Linked DNA regions of Alligator mississippiensis. The protein of the gene in region 1 interacts with the protein of each later gene in a pairwise test. Links are inferred from orthologs where the notes say so. Each region holds a gene or a part of one and is shown in the gene's direction. Other genes may lie near its edges.

Evidence for each region. The genes of interacting proteins can lie anywhere in the genome.
Region 2: the proteins of TNIK (region 1) and SPTBN1 interact in a two-hybrid assay, tested with the Homo sapiens proteins (2 studies listed by BioGRID and IntAct). The link is inferred for Alligator mississippiensis from reciprocal best matches to the Homo sapiens genes TNIK and SPTBN1.

The regions. Positions count from the first base shown.
Region 1 is NC_081830.1:75,557,398-75,564,445, reverse strand, and holds the start of TNIK (TRAF2 and NCK-interacting protein kinase), read left to right. Parts: upstream 1-4,046; 5' UTR 4,047-4,134; coding exon 4,135-4,191; intron 4,192-7,048. UniProt on the Homo sapiens protein: Serine/threonine kinase that acts as an essential activator of the Wnt signaling pathway. Recruited to promoters of Wnt target genes and required to activate their expression. May act by phosphorylating TCF4/TCF7L2.
Region 2 is NC_081824.1:206,540,264-206,548,165, forward strand, and holds the start of SPTBN1 (spectrin beta chain, non-erythrocytic 1), read left to right. Parts: upstream 1-4,899; 5' UTR 4,900-5,007; intron 5,008-7,902. UniProt on the Homo sapiens protein: Fodrin, which seems to be involved in secretion, interacts with calmodulin in a calcium-dependent manner and is thus candidate for the calcium-dependent movement of the cytoskeleton at the membrane.

The DNA.
Region 1 (7,048 bases):
GCTTCCCACAGCCTCTGTGCCCATACCTGCCCCCTTCTACAGCCTTGGACCCCCTACCCCTCTTTCCCTGCTCTCTCCCCCTGCAACCTCTACCCCCACCCCCCCAATCCACTTCTCCTCAGCTGCTTATCCTTGCTTCGCTCCAGGAGACCTGGTGCATGGAGCACAGCTCTATTCACACCTGGTAGCAATGGTGGTAGTGTGGTAACTCTGGACCCAGCTCCAGCTGGAGCTGCTAACTGGACTAGACTGGGGCTGAGCTTCTTGTGCCAGGCTGGAATGGGGCCAGAATCTGCTGGAGCAGAGCAAGGGTATGCAGTGGAATTGGGGTAGGTAGGCAAGTAGAGGAGGTGGGGGAGTAAAGCTGGTGGGTGACAGGTGGTAGCTGTTGGGCTGGAGTCAGACGCACAGCAGCTGCCTGCCCCCAAACTGGCACAGACTTGAATCCAACTTGAGACCTTTTTTCCCCATGTAAAATGGGGGATAAAACCTCATTTTGGGCTTGACCAAATACAATAATTCTTTATGAAAACATGAAACCTTTCGGTGATACACAGGGCTTCAAATGGAGTTACCTCATCGATATATGGCCTAGCAAGCACTTAGGTGCTTCCATCAAGCAGATGAGAGAAATAATGGAATTACTTTTGACAGAGGTACATATAACAAAACTTGGATCTTGTCTGTTAGAGGCAGGTTGTGGTTAATGGCATCTATCTGGTTGTGAAGAGACTTGTCTAGATGGCTACAAAAAGCCCGTTTTAACTTCTTGCTCCCTGTTGGAGACCCCTTAGACAAGTTTTGGCACTACTGCTGGGAATGAGAGTTGTTCTAGCCAGAGACTTCAAGGTCATCCTCCCAGCAAGGTAACACCCACAGTTTTTGCTTCGGGCTGCATGCGGACTCAGTAATAAAGGGTATCAGGGAACATTCAAACATTTTTCTTTATAATCATTGGGGCTAGGTTTGGTAATAATGCATAGTTAGCTTTGAACATGGCATGGAGGAACTCATGTGATAAGCAAATAAGGCTCATGCAGAAATCCTGCACTGCAGCCTCTCAGTATTGGTTTGGATACCATAGTTTTGCAAAAATTAGAAACGGTAAACAACAACACATTGACAAGAGGATCTATATGTGAGAGTAAAGCACCCAGATTGTCCTCCAGCTACTTTGCAAATCTCCAGTGAAAGCTCACATTGGCGTAAGAGGGGATAGCAATCCAAAAGTGATGATGAATCAATTAAAATGCATTTGCGAAGATCAATAGATGCGGGTTGGACACAAGTAGCCATTAATTTCTGAGTATCTTCTAACACAGCTGCAGCAGTAATCATGTTAGCTTGAAATCCAATTATTATGCATTTAATAGAGTATTAATATTTAAACACACTTTAGTGTGTTTAGGCAGTGCCTTTTAACTGCTGTATCCATGTAAAAGCACTGGTCCCTAGCCTCAGCTGGAGTAAATCAGCTGGAAATCAGTAGCAAAATGCCACTTTACACCAGCTGTAATTGTGAGCTAATGGACATAGAAACAGGTGAACCAAGTATGTGGGGAAAGAGGAGCACTGGACAACACAGTCACATGTCCACTATGGTGCATCACACAGCCAAAGGGGAGTCCACTCAGTGTCATCAGAGATGTAATCCTTCTGTGGCTAAGCAATAGGACTGAACAGGGGCCCTAAATTTGAAGAAATACACCATAAAGGGAAAGTGTAGTTTAATGTTGCACTGACCCATCTTAGGTCCAGTTACTGAACTAAAATTCTCCAGTTCAGATCAGCCTGACTTTAAATTAATTTTTGTGAGTAGATTTTTATGGACAGAAAATAATAATAATAAAAACCCAAAATGGTAAAATCAAAATTCTCCCTTGAAAAAATGAAATTTTGTAGAAACTTCCTTTTCCATTGAAAATATCATTCCTTACTATCCTGACTAGTTTATGCTTCCATTTCTACCAGGAAGGTCTGTGCAGCATAGAGACAACACCCAGAAATTTGAAGATTATAACATAGTCACATATCCTTACCCATACACTAATGGTGAAGTAATTTTTGTAAATCAGCCTTATTGACACACGTTTACTGGACCAGGAACTGCCATTTTTGCATACTGAAGTACTTTGAAGCAATTGGAATTTTTTACTCCATTGCCCCTATAACCTACTATAATGTACTATATTTATGACATTACTGATATATATATCTATATATAGATATATAGATATATATATATATCTATATATAGATATATATACTGTCTTCAAGGACTAATTAAAGGCCCCAAATGAAGTAACTCCTATCCTGGGCACTTCATATGGATGTAGAGATCCATGATAATCTGTCCATTTGTAAGACTGGGGCCTATCATTTTAAAAGAAAGAAATCTCTCATTTCCACACCTGTTTTTACAAATGACACCTTCCTTGCCTTTTAAATGGAAAAGCTATTAGAAAAACACATTCTCACTTTCTGCTCAGCTTATTCTTTTTCATTCCCCACCCCCTTGAAAAAATTATAGCAGCACTGCCGCAGTCACATTTCTTTGTCACTAGCTTCTAGCTACTTTTGCTTTCAGGTCTATATGTATTATCACAATATTGCAATGTCTGGGTTGCAACCGCTGCAGACAACATTTGTACATCAAAGCGTTCCAGTCCATTGTTAAAAAAAAAATGAGAGAGAGACTTGGAAATAATTTGCTTGCTCCTTGCTTGTATTTAAGTGTTTATTCAAGACTGTAGAATGTAAAATTCAAGATTTCGGGCAAATATAATCTTTCGAATGTCAGGAAGTTTTAATTGCTCTACCACATATTAATGCCTCTGGATTTGTTATACTGAAGACAGTGATGTGTTTGTCACCCTGCATCACCTCATGCTTTCCATCCACTTCTGCATGTTTCATTTACCTGCAATACTTAGTCACCTGGAAAAAATACCTTCTGCCTTGTACGTGGAATTTTGTATGGGGCAATGCTGCAACTTCCACTATTGTATAATGGTGCTGTTGCTCCATTTCTCACCATGTATCAGGAACTCGGTGATCAGCACTCTTAATAATAAGGTTCAGCTCCAGATCTTTGAACCTACCTCCTGGCAGGCTTAGTTAGCATGTGCAGATAGCCATGGTACTTTGAACACAGGGCATACGGCAGAGTTGGGCAATGAACTCCCTCTAGTTCTGCAACTGGTTTAAGACAGCCTGTTGCTGATGAGGAAATGTCAGCAGCTTGACTCTGTTTTGCAAGGCCAGTCTCTTCTGCAGCCTGCTTCTACCAAATTGCTCAGATAATAAATGTGCTGTGTCTCAGACTACCAGCTTTTTATGAAAAAGTTGCAGCAGTCAAGTGGCCCTATCGACTGTAGGATTATTTGCAATTAAAAAAAAAGAGCATCTCAATCCATGCATACAAAAAAATCCTGCCTCTCTCTGCAGGAGACAAGTGTGTTAGGGTTATGTTTCTACTTCTCCACTCTGCGTGTTGCGAGATCCCGTCACACACCTGCGAGATCGGATAACGGACCCCACTGTGCTCCCCCTGAAGCGAGAAATGGTATCAGGAAGACCAGACCCGGTGCTTGAGAGACCGCTCCTGAATAAGGAATAACAAATGAGGACAAAGAGAAAACCGGGTCCCCTGGAAACGGAGGGATGCTTCTTCCCAAACCCAACACCTGTGTGCGCTGCTCCTCTACCAAAGCAGCCCAAATCCAGATTGCAAGACCGTGCCGAGCCAGGGCAATCCTAGATGTAGCTCTTAGAGGATCAACTCCTGGTTGGACTTCCCACCCCCTAATTCCCCAGCCTGGCCGGAGACCGACGGCCGGCCCCGCTCTGCGTCCTCATGCCCCTAGTGCCAGCGCCCGCGCCCGCAGCCCGGCAGGGCAGGGGCAAGTCAAGCCTCGCTTCTCCGCGGGGGGAGGGGAGAAGGGGGCGGGGCGCGCTGCACTTGTTCCCGGGGCCGGGCAGGGAGGCCCCGCCCCCTCCTGTTTAGCACCGCCCCCTCCACCCCCCCACTCCGGAGCGGCGGCGGCGCGTGCGCGTGTGCGGGCGGGCGGCCGTGGAGAGGAGGCGGCGGCAGCGGCGGCGGAGGTCCCGCGGCGCCCGGCGAGCTGAGGCAACATGGCGAGCGACTCCCCGGCTCGCAGCCTGGACGAGATCGATCTCTCCGCCCTGCGGGTGAGTGCTCGCCCCCGGCCCGCGGGTCCTCTGCCTTCCTGGGGTGGGGGGTGAGGTGGATGATGGTGTGAGGTGAACGGTGTGTGTAAGACAAGTAGTGATGGGTGTGTGCGCGTGGGGGGCGGTGTGCACAGGACTGATGCTCCCGCAGGAGGGGAAGGAGACGGGGCTGCGATGTCCCCGGGGTGCAGTGGCGGGGGGTGTCTTCAGCAGGACGGTCTCCGGGGGGTGCGCCTGGGTCTTCAGGGGGAAGCGCGAGGCCCCCCAGCCCCATGGCTGCTGCAGCCCGGGTGCGGCATGGCTGTGGCATAGAGGTGCCCCCTTGGAGCAGCGGTGGCTGCCGTGCTCCTTTCGTCGATGCAGCGCTGTGCTCCGCGCATCCATCCCCCTTGGGTGCCTGCTCTTCAGTTGCCTTTGCACAGGCTCAGGCTGAGCTGTCTTTTTGTCGGTTTTTTTTTTTGTTCCCCCCGCCCTAGCTCAGGGGCATCTGGAGAGCGCCCTCTTTGCCCTTCCAATGCAAGTGGGTTTGTCTTTTGTTTGTTTTTTCCCCCTCTACCTGAGGGAGCCCTGCGTTGAAAACAAAAACCCGTAGCGCAGAGAGGATGTGGCTCTTTTTGTCCTCGGATGCAGCGTCTCTTTACAGTAGCAGCTCCCCCGCCGGTCTGCTTGCGCTTCCCTGCCGACTGCCTTGGCCGCCGTGGGGCCAGAGGGGTTGAGTCCATCTTGATGTGATTTTTATTTTTTTGCTGTGAAATTTGGACATTGCAAGCTGGGGATGTTTGCCCCCATTTCTGCCGCCCCCCAATCACCACCATCTTCAGTCCTTTCCAGGGAATGGGCATATGCCTCCTTGCCCTTTTCATCAGGCATCACCCTGCCTCCTCAGGCTTGGTTTAAGCATATATGCTTAATAGCGATGCACGTGTGTGTGACTACACACTACACATGTACTGAATCTAGGAACACTGATGTGGGTTGGTTCACACCCTGTGGAGCACATTGTTGCACACTGATGCTGAGCCCCGGAGTATTTTGTTTTCTTGCCTCTTCATTTGCTGTCATCAGCCAGCCTTGCTCTTTTCTCCCACGCTTCTTCTAAGTAAGACTCTTATTTGTATTTACAATAAACCAGAAATGTATATGGTACATCAAAGATGGCAGCCAGTGTTTTTGTATTGTGATGTGTCTCTTTCTCCCCCTGTTTCTATAATTCCCTCCCCCCCACCTTTTTCATCTATTGCTGGTTTCGGCTATCCACTACTGGAGTCCTTTAGGGGAGTAGTGTTTAATCTGGACGTGGCTGCTGAAACGTTGTCTGAAGGAGCCTTCCTTTATTACAGCAAGACTGCGTACACCTTGCTGGTACAGGTGTTTAAGAAAAATAAAATCAAGTGATGCCCACTGAAGACTTCCAAGACTGTTGTGTGGTTTTGTTTTGTTTTGTTTTGTTTGTTGGGGTTTTTTTGTTTTGTTTTGTTTTTTTACAAATAATGTTTGCTTCAAGGCAAACCCAAAAAGATGCCCGTCTTATTCACATGCCCTACTTTTCTTTCTGCTTAGTTCCTGGCTCATTAATAGTGTAAACCAGTGGTTTTCAACCTAGACCCCCGGGGGGTCTGCAGACTATGGTCACAGTCATCTTTTGCAGACCCCTTAGACAATCAAAAAGTATATGAATACATAGACTTACCATTCAAGGGGGTCTGCACCTCTATTCAGAAATTTTTAGGGATCTGCACATGAAGAGAGGTTGAAAACCACTGGTGTAAACAATTGCTCCACAGTTGCAGGTGTGGACAGGATGAGGAATATGGAGGTCCTTCATGTTTAAAAACAAACATTCAATTCTAGTTCACCTCCCCTGCCTCAGTATCTCAGGAGAAATGTCAGTCAATGGAATTAATAGCCCTATAAAGCAAACATCTTGGAGCATCAGCCCCTACATGTTGGATTTTGTTTTGGGAACAGCAGCAGTTGAATTTTCTTAATGCCCGTAACAACCAGTCTTAAAATAACATCCCTGCTTTTTGTTTTTAAGGTATCTGTGTTCATGCAGATGGAGCTTTTTATTATTATTTATTTTTTCTCCATGGACTATACCCAAAGCAAGTCTGAATTGTCTGTCAGTGCAAATACAAATTAGAAATCCTCGACTGTAACTGCATTTGTTATGATTCCCCCATGTGCTTCTTTATCGTGGAACCCTAGGCTTGGAAAGATCTTGGTGGTCATTTAATGCAGGATGTGTTTATTCCTAAACCATCCAGGACCAATGCCTTTCCAGCCTCTTTTTTTTTTTTTTTTAAGTCTCCCATGAAGGAGATTCCACATGTTATCCAGGGAGCTTGTCCTAGCTGTGCCCCATGCCCCTAAAAGTAGTCTTATGAACTGGATCAACCATGGGATCAAGTGGCCTTCTTTGCTGGTAGATATACCTCAACAGACGCTAGATGTTGTGTCCATTTTATGGTGTCAGTATTCAGTGGTGGGGGCAGGAGGACCGTGGAGAATACAAAACACGCTTTGTGTATCTTCGTGTACTAAACTGAAGGGAATTTGTTCAGAGCTCCCAAAACAGTGACAGATCATATTGGAGAGAGCCCCATTTGCATCTAGTACATCAGATAAATTGTTCAAGAGCTGTCGATCTTTGTAATCACTTGACCTTCTGTAATGCTTCAAGGTCAGCAGGGCTTTGGGTGGGCTGCCGCACTGACTTGCGGTAACCCCAGGCAGCTGTAGTCTAACTTTGTGCTCTTTACACCTGCGGGTCAGCGTTGGCTCACTTGGGCTTTCATGTCTCTTCTACACTGAAAATGGTAAACACTTCCTAGATAGAGACAAAGCCCTAAGAGGG
Region 2 (7,902 bases), on another chromosome or scaffold:
GGCTTTCTCATCCTGCAAGGGGATATTCACACTAAACCATAAAAATGTTTACATTTATGAAAACATATGTTTCTCTTGCAAAAAGGTAACACTTAATTTAAAAAATCAGAACAAAATCTATATTTAGCTATTGCATGATTTACTTAAATCCAAGCAGCTGAAGGAAGGAAACAAATGTTAATGACTGGTATAACTGGCAGGAGCCCACAGTAGTGCTGTTATTCTGGTTCTTGCAGATCACAGGCGTTCATTCCAGCTAGTTATTTCCACAATAATCTTTGGCCCACCCTTGTTTGAGCTATGTAGGTTAAGACAGCCAGAATCTTAAAATATGTTGGATGTCCCTGCCTACTCTCTCCCATACATTTGGCATCTTTTTTTCTTCCCCTGCCTACTTGCACAGGAGATATTAATAGTTGGGTGAAGCATGGAATTTTTCCAATGTTCTTTCTAATCTGTAATAATAAAATCCTTACACTTGAGCACATATTATATATATGTGTGTGTGTGCGCGCGCTCAAATGTAAGGATTTTATTATTTTTATTTTAGTAAGTAATTATTGTTGTATTTCTCATATATGAGAAATGTTAATGTTGTATTTCTCATATTATATATAATATGAGAAATACAACAATACTAAAATTTTAATCTCTTCTCCTTAAACAATGTAGTAGGCACAATGGCAAAGCACTATTACACCTCCTTATTAAGCTTGAGATGTTTTATCACACAAGATTTGCTGACTAAAATCTATACTTTATGAATTGCTGAACAAAATCCAAATGACTGGATTCATGCTAATGCCTGACAAAGGGATATTAGTTATCTAACCTTGATAAAAAGAAAAAAATACAGTAATAATGCAAAAACCACAGACTCCCCCAATCCTATATTTCACATTTATCATACCCCTCTAAGCTTAAAGGGCTACAAAACAAAGAGATGTTGCATTAAAGGAACTGTTACCAGGCTGGTAATATGAAACGAGCATGGTAGAAATTCCTAACAACTAAACAAGGTTGTTTTTCAGAAAGGAAATTTAACTTAGCTGCAAACTAATCTTGAGAAAAAACTTCCATATTAAAATTACTGGCAAACAAAATACATTATTCTGCCTTTATTTAAGTCTTTGAATTACTGTTATTGATGATCAGAGTAATTTAAGCAATGCTTCCCACACTAATACAAAATTTGGGGCAGGCTTACTTAAATCTGGGAAGTTTTATCCATGTAAACAGAGTGCAATGTGCTCTACAACAGATGCTTGGACACTTGTGTGCCTTTATTCAGGGTCAAATATTTGGCCTTTACCCTCCTTTGGCAAATCTCTCACTGAGATGATGGGAATTTTATTTTTAGAAATATCATAATATTTAGTCCTTGTATTAAAGAAAATCTAGATTGGAAAGCTATCTTTCCTGTAGAACTTTTCAAATGACTTGGATTAAATTCTGCCAACCTACTCATATTGAGTAGTCTTTTTCCCTGTGGGAACAGATGTTAATTGCAGTATGCCGATATGGAAAATTAGGTTCTATTGATGGTTGGGAAGAGTGGAATAATTTGGTTTGTCAACTTTATGGCTTATTTTGTTTGGTTGCTTTTCTATATATGCAAACTTCTAAAATGCTGTTTCCTTGATGCATATGTCCTATTCTTCATTATAAGAACAGCTAATAAGTTTGTAAGTTTGGTTTACTATCGCTTACATAGTAACCCTTATTATCACCATAATTATTGTTTATATGATCATAAGAGCTAGGATTGTTAATCATGGATATGGTCCCCATTGTGGCAAGTGCTTGCCAAAAAAGAACTAAAAGACAGCCCCCACCCTAAGAAGCTCACAGCCTAAGAATAAAACATGAGGCAACAGGTGAATAGACTGACAAGCACAAGGAGACAATACCAGTCAACATCATGCACAGTAGTCTCAGCAGATTTACAGCTTAACTGTAGTCAAGTTTTCTGTAGGCCTTGTGGCAAAAGGAAGTTTTGAGGAGAGAATAAAGGAGAGTAATGAAGCACTTCTGAGAACTTCTGAGATGCTTAGAGGGAGCTTCTCTGAAGCATGAAGGGTAGCATGGGAGAAGCATGAAAGTGCTTATTTGAAAACCTAACAAGGAGGCTATAGAGGCAAGTGTCATGGACTGGCATCGGAGGCAGGAGTCAACCTCTGGAAACTGAATGAGAGACGATGGAGAGGCAGGGTGTGTCATAGAAGGCCTTGAAAATTATGAGTAGGTTATGCCTAATGTGATAGAGAAGTATAAGCCAAGGGAAGCCGGTAAAGGAAGAGGTGACATGGTGCAAAGTGGTAGGCTAGGAAAATTATTTTTGCAGCAACAAAATGGATGGATATGGGAAAGTTTGCATTGTCAAAGCCAGAAAATGGGATGTTGCAGTCCATTGAAATGATTGGTGAGACAAAGAGAGCTTGGACATGAGTTTTAATTGTGTGGATGAATAATGAAAGATTAGAGCTTAGCTGTAGCCTGTGTGTGAGGACCCAGAGTGAAATCTGAGTTGGAAATGATGCCCTGATTAAAAAGCCTGAGTGACAGGCAAGATAGCGATATTGCCCACACTGATCAAGTAAGGAGTTTGTGGGCACCTATCCTTCTGGGGGGGGTGTGAAGAGTAAAAGTCATGTTTCAGCCGTGTTCAACTTGAACGAAAGGTTAGGCATCTACAAGGATGGATGGCCTGTCTACATTGTCATTGTGATACTTTTCAGACTGCTTCCAAAAAGGTGGCCTGTCTACCTATTCTCATTCTGCATGCTGCAAACTTGCCCCTGAGGCAGTGAGGACTCTTTATCTCTCACTGCCATTCTCCATGTCTCTCTGGCTCAAGAGCCATGGTGGGTGGTCCCCCAGAGCACCCTGACAGCCTGTGTTCTGGTGCTACCAAGTGGAACCACATTGGAGGAACTTTTATTTCAGCAGCAGCAGCCTGGAGAAGAGAGAGAGGCAGTGTAGACATACTCTGACATTTTACTTTGAGCAGAGGCATCAGAACGTTCATGAAACAGAAGGTCTACAAAGCCATCATTCCCCCGAACCTCCTTTATGCCTGCAAAACCTGGACCATCTACCAGTCATGTCAAGAAACTAAACCACTTCCACTTCTGCTGCCTGTAAAAGATACTAAAGATCAAGTGGAAGGACAAGATTCTGGACACTAAGGTGCTCAGAAGATCAGCTCTCCCCAATATCCACACGCTACTGAAACTGGCACAGCTAAGATGGGCCGGCCACCTTTCAAGAATGACCGACACTCGCCTGCTGAAGAAAATCTTCTATGGTGAACTGTCAAATGGAGTACACTTTTGCAGTGCACCAAAGAAGGTGTCCTTGAAGAGTTTCAGCATCGACCTGGAGTTGTGGGTTCAAATCACTTGCGACTGTCTATCCTGGAGGTCATTGGTCCAGAGCGGCGCATGGCGGAGGCAGTGAGGAAACGTGTGGCCAGGAAATCGAGGACCTCTTGTGTCCAGTCCTTGTCGCTGTCCTGCCCCTGCTGCAGCAAATCGTTCAGGGCAATGATTGGGCTTATATGTCACCTGCATACTCACGCAACCTATCCTCCTCTCTCTTTCCTCTCTTCTTTCTCCTTTTTCCTCATCTTCGCTTGCGAAGGATGAACAACAGAAGACAGGTCTAGAATAGAGGGTGAGATCTGTGAGTTGCCTGCAAAGCTATGGGAGTCAAATTTGTGTTTATGGTTGAAGTCACCCTGAGATAAGATGAAGAGAGAAAGAGAAAGGGACCAAAGGCAGTGCCTTTTAAAACTGCCACATAAGGTTGGAGGGGGAGATGTGGGGATCCTCCAAAGGACATGATGGAGAGAGGGAGGAAAAGAAGCAGTAGATGAGTCATGCAAACTAAGGGAGGACAAGATGTCAACAGGAAAAAGCCCAATTGATGGTATGGAAGGAGGACGAGACTGGAGTGTTGTTCTGAGATGTGGCCAGGAAGAACTCATTCCAAACTGGCAAAACCCGTTTCATCTGAGTGTACAGGTTGAAACTAGGATGGAGTGGGTCTAGGATGGAGCTGGAGGAAAAACTAAGGACAAGGTGTGAAAACAGCACGTACAAAGAGCTGAGAGATGAATAACATGAAGGAGATGGAACTGTAGTGGCGGGGACTGACTGGAGTCAAGGGCGACAGGTGAAAGCTGCTTTGTTGTGGCAGGGAGAGGAAAATAAAGAGGTTAAGGAGAAGAGTGAGGGAGAGGGTATAATAAGATTTGGGGGCATGGGATAGGGTTACTAGGTCTCATGGAAAAGAGGCAAGAGGAGGAAAGTGTCTCTTTGACAGGGGGTAGAGGAGGATAGAGAAGGAGGAAAGGCTGTATTGCATGTGAGTTGTCTCTTGAAAGGCCCCTGGGCAGAGAGACAAGTGGAGATGGGAGGAGATGGTTAGAGAAATTAGTCAAAAAGGCACCCGGGATTGAACTGCGGAGCCTGGAGGCGCATTTAGCTAGGAAGACGGCACAACTCACGAGTCACAAGCCACTCAGAGCAGCAGGAGAGCAGGGCCGAAGGGAGAGGAGGGGCAGGCAGGGGGGGTCTCGCCAGGGGTTGGTTACATGGGCAAAGCGGCCCGAGTAGAGCAGAGGCGCCGCAGCAGGGGACATGAGCGGCCCCTAAAAATCAGCGGCACTAGGGGAGGGGGGTGTCACAGAAAGGCTGGTGGGGGGGAGCTGGTGTGAGAGGCCGGGCCCAGGCTCTGCCAGATCCATGCCCGTGCACCTGCGCCCGAACCGAGCCGAGCCGAGCCAAGCCGCCACCCGCGCGCGGGCTAGAGGCTGCACGGGGCGGGCCCGCCGCCGTCCCCGCCCCTCAATCAGTGCCGCTGCTGCGTGCGGGTTGCGCGGGGGCAGGCGGCTGCGGGCTGCGCCGCGCCCTCCTCCCGCCTCTGGCCGCGCCGAGCTGCTGCTGCATCTGCATCGCCCCCGCCTGCCGCCGCCGCCAAGCAGCGCAGCCCCAGCGAGGCGAGGTAGGGGTGCGCGGGGACCCGCCTGCACGAGGCCCCGGGAGGGAGGGAGGCGCGGGGGGCTCGTGCAATGGACGCTGGGTTTGCAGTGTCTTGCTCCGTCATGGTGCTGGCGCGGGGGGTGTCCCCCGGGCCTGGGGGTGGCAGCGGGGGCGCCGCAGCCGGCGGTGCAGGGATGCAAACAGGCGTGGCCGGGCCCGGCTCTGCCCGTTGCGGGCAGTGTGCGGGGGGGGATGGTGTGTGTGTGTGTGTGTTCCGCCCGGCACCGCAACAGGTTTGTGCATCCAGCCCGGGCCGGGGGGCCTCTGCGCGCTGCAAGCCGCACTTGGGGTGGGGGTCCCCAAGGCGGGGCATGAGGAGAAGGGAGCTGGGGGTATGGGGGATACTGGGGTGTGTGTGTGTGTTGGGGTGGGGTGCATGGGGGTTACTGGGGATGTTGTGTCTGAGGGGTGGGTTTTATTGTGTGTGTGTGTGTGTGTGTTAGGTGGGGGCTGTGGTAGTTATTGGGGGTGGAGGTTGCCTGAGGCTTGGGGGGCTATTGAAGTATGTGTGTGTGTATGTAATTGCTGGGGCATGGGGGGAAGGCATGGGGGTTATTGGGGAGGCTTATTCAAAAGTGTGTGTGTGTCGGGGTGGGGGGTGTGTGGGGAGGTAAGTGAGTTACGGGGGGGTTAGTGTGTGTGTTGGGGTGGGGGGGTGTATGGGGAGGTATGGGGGCTACTGGGGGGGGGTGTCTGTGCCTGTCTGAGGTGTGGGGTTTATTGAAGTGTGTGTGTGTGTCCCCTGGCGGAGCTGGGGTGCTCCTGTGCGACACACCGCTCCTTCCATGATGTCTGGGCGAAGCGATGCAGCACAATGCAGTGCTCTGACCCCCTTCATGCCGTGCTCTCCGGCTACATCTCACAGGAATCCTGATCTCCCTTGTGCACTAAGCAAAAAACCCCACCCAACTGGCTGGGTTGCTTGGGGTCTGGGTTTTTAATGCCCTCTTCCCATAATTTTTTTTTCCTGTCATCATTCTCAGCTTTTAGGGGGCATCTTTTTTCTTTGGAGGTTGTTCCGGGGGGGGGGGGGGCTGTGTGTGAGGAAGAGGCAGATGGCAGTTTTGCATCAAGATGTTGGGTGGGTTTGCTGGCTTTCTGTTTTCTGGGTTTTTTTTAATTTGCTTGCTGCTAATCTGTAATGGGGGGGGGCGGTGGGGAGCTGTATGATTGCAGTTCTGCAGCTCTAATGCAGTCAGATGGAGTCCAGCCTGCGGCTGTGGAGCATTAATCTGATACTACAAAAGTAGCAGCATTAGGGAGGGGTTGCAGGAAGAGTGTTATTGTAAAGGAGAGGAAGGAGTGCACCTTTAGACTGACTGGGGCAAATGTGTGCAGATGCTGCATGCACCACTGAAACCCAGACTTGTGCATCAGCTGGGTTCGTTCAGGCTGGCGGGTGTTACGTGCCCTTTCCCATTGTGAAGGAGAAGGTATTGGTTTTTTCCTCCTGCCTTTAAGGTACAGTAAACCTCAGCAGTCTTTATACCCATTTTCCAATAACAGTAACTGATTTGGGAGTGGAGATTTTCTGCTTTTTTGCTTTCAGAAGCACTTTATTAAGTCTACTGTTATTGGGTTCCCCCCAGTTAAATGTGTCATTGTCTTTCAGATGTATTACCGAATGCAGTTTCCTATATTTAGATGTGAAACATTGGTTGTTTGAAGAATTACATCCCTGCCTTTTATTTTTTAAATGAATACCATGTTAAATTCCAAAATAATAATCATCGGAGGTGTTGGTTGATTTTTTTATTTTATTTTTTTTATTTTTTGTTTAATGGATGGAAAGTGTTTATGGCTGTGAAATGATGATACTGAATATTCAATTGAACGGACATCATAAATGGACTTGGTTTCATTATCTTTTCCACAGAGATGTTGTAGTTAGATGTGGGTAGGCCTGCTTTAATACCAAAAAAAATGGCAGCCTTATACCCGATATTGCAAGACTGCAGTATCTCTGACAAATCCATCTTCCATAGCACTGAAGCCTGACTTCTTTAGTTAAGACAACCTGCTGTTTGTCAGAAATCTTTGATTTTTTTTTTTAAATGCATAAAATATTAATCTGTTGGATGCCTGCCATGCATGCAAAAGCAGAATCAGCAATTGAATATAGTGTGAATACCATTTCAGTCTGCTAGTTGCGAGGAAATTTGCACATGTACAGTGAAGAGGGAGGGAAGAGGTCTTTCTTTATAGATAATGTCTACACAAAATCAAAACTATTGTCCATAAAAATATGTTTTTAATTATCAGTATTCAAAGAATATCCTTTAATTTAAAATAATTCTAAATAGTCTACATTTATAAAATTGTTTGAAGCATTAAATGCAACATTTATGATCTGTTAGGACTGGGGATGTTGAAAAGTCTTTTTACCTAGCTAGGTGATTATTTTTCAAAATTATTTTTGACCTTTAGATGTATTCATTCATAAGGGCGTCTTGGGGGATAGTATTTCCATAGCTTTAAAGATTAAGGCAGTTTGCATTCATTACCTTATTTAAAGAAAGATCAATGTAGAAGTGTTGCAAGGAATTTTGACTCATCAGGCAGGTGCAAAAACCTGATTGGAAGAAGATTTTTCATGTATCACGAAGGTTCAGATACAAGCTTACGATGGTATTATTGATCAGGAGAAATAGGTGATGAAGGAGTTAGTTACTGTTACTAAACTCTATTCTGCTGTTTAACAACCTCATCAGCCAGCTTTTCTGGATAAAATATGTAAAAAATGGTTATCGAGATGCTGATATAACATGGCAACAACAGTTGATGGTACTTAGCTGGCTGGTAATGTGTCACAACCAGTATTGGGAAGACGCTAAATAAAATTGATAGAACCAAGTAT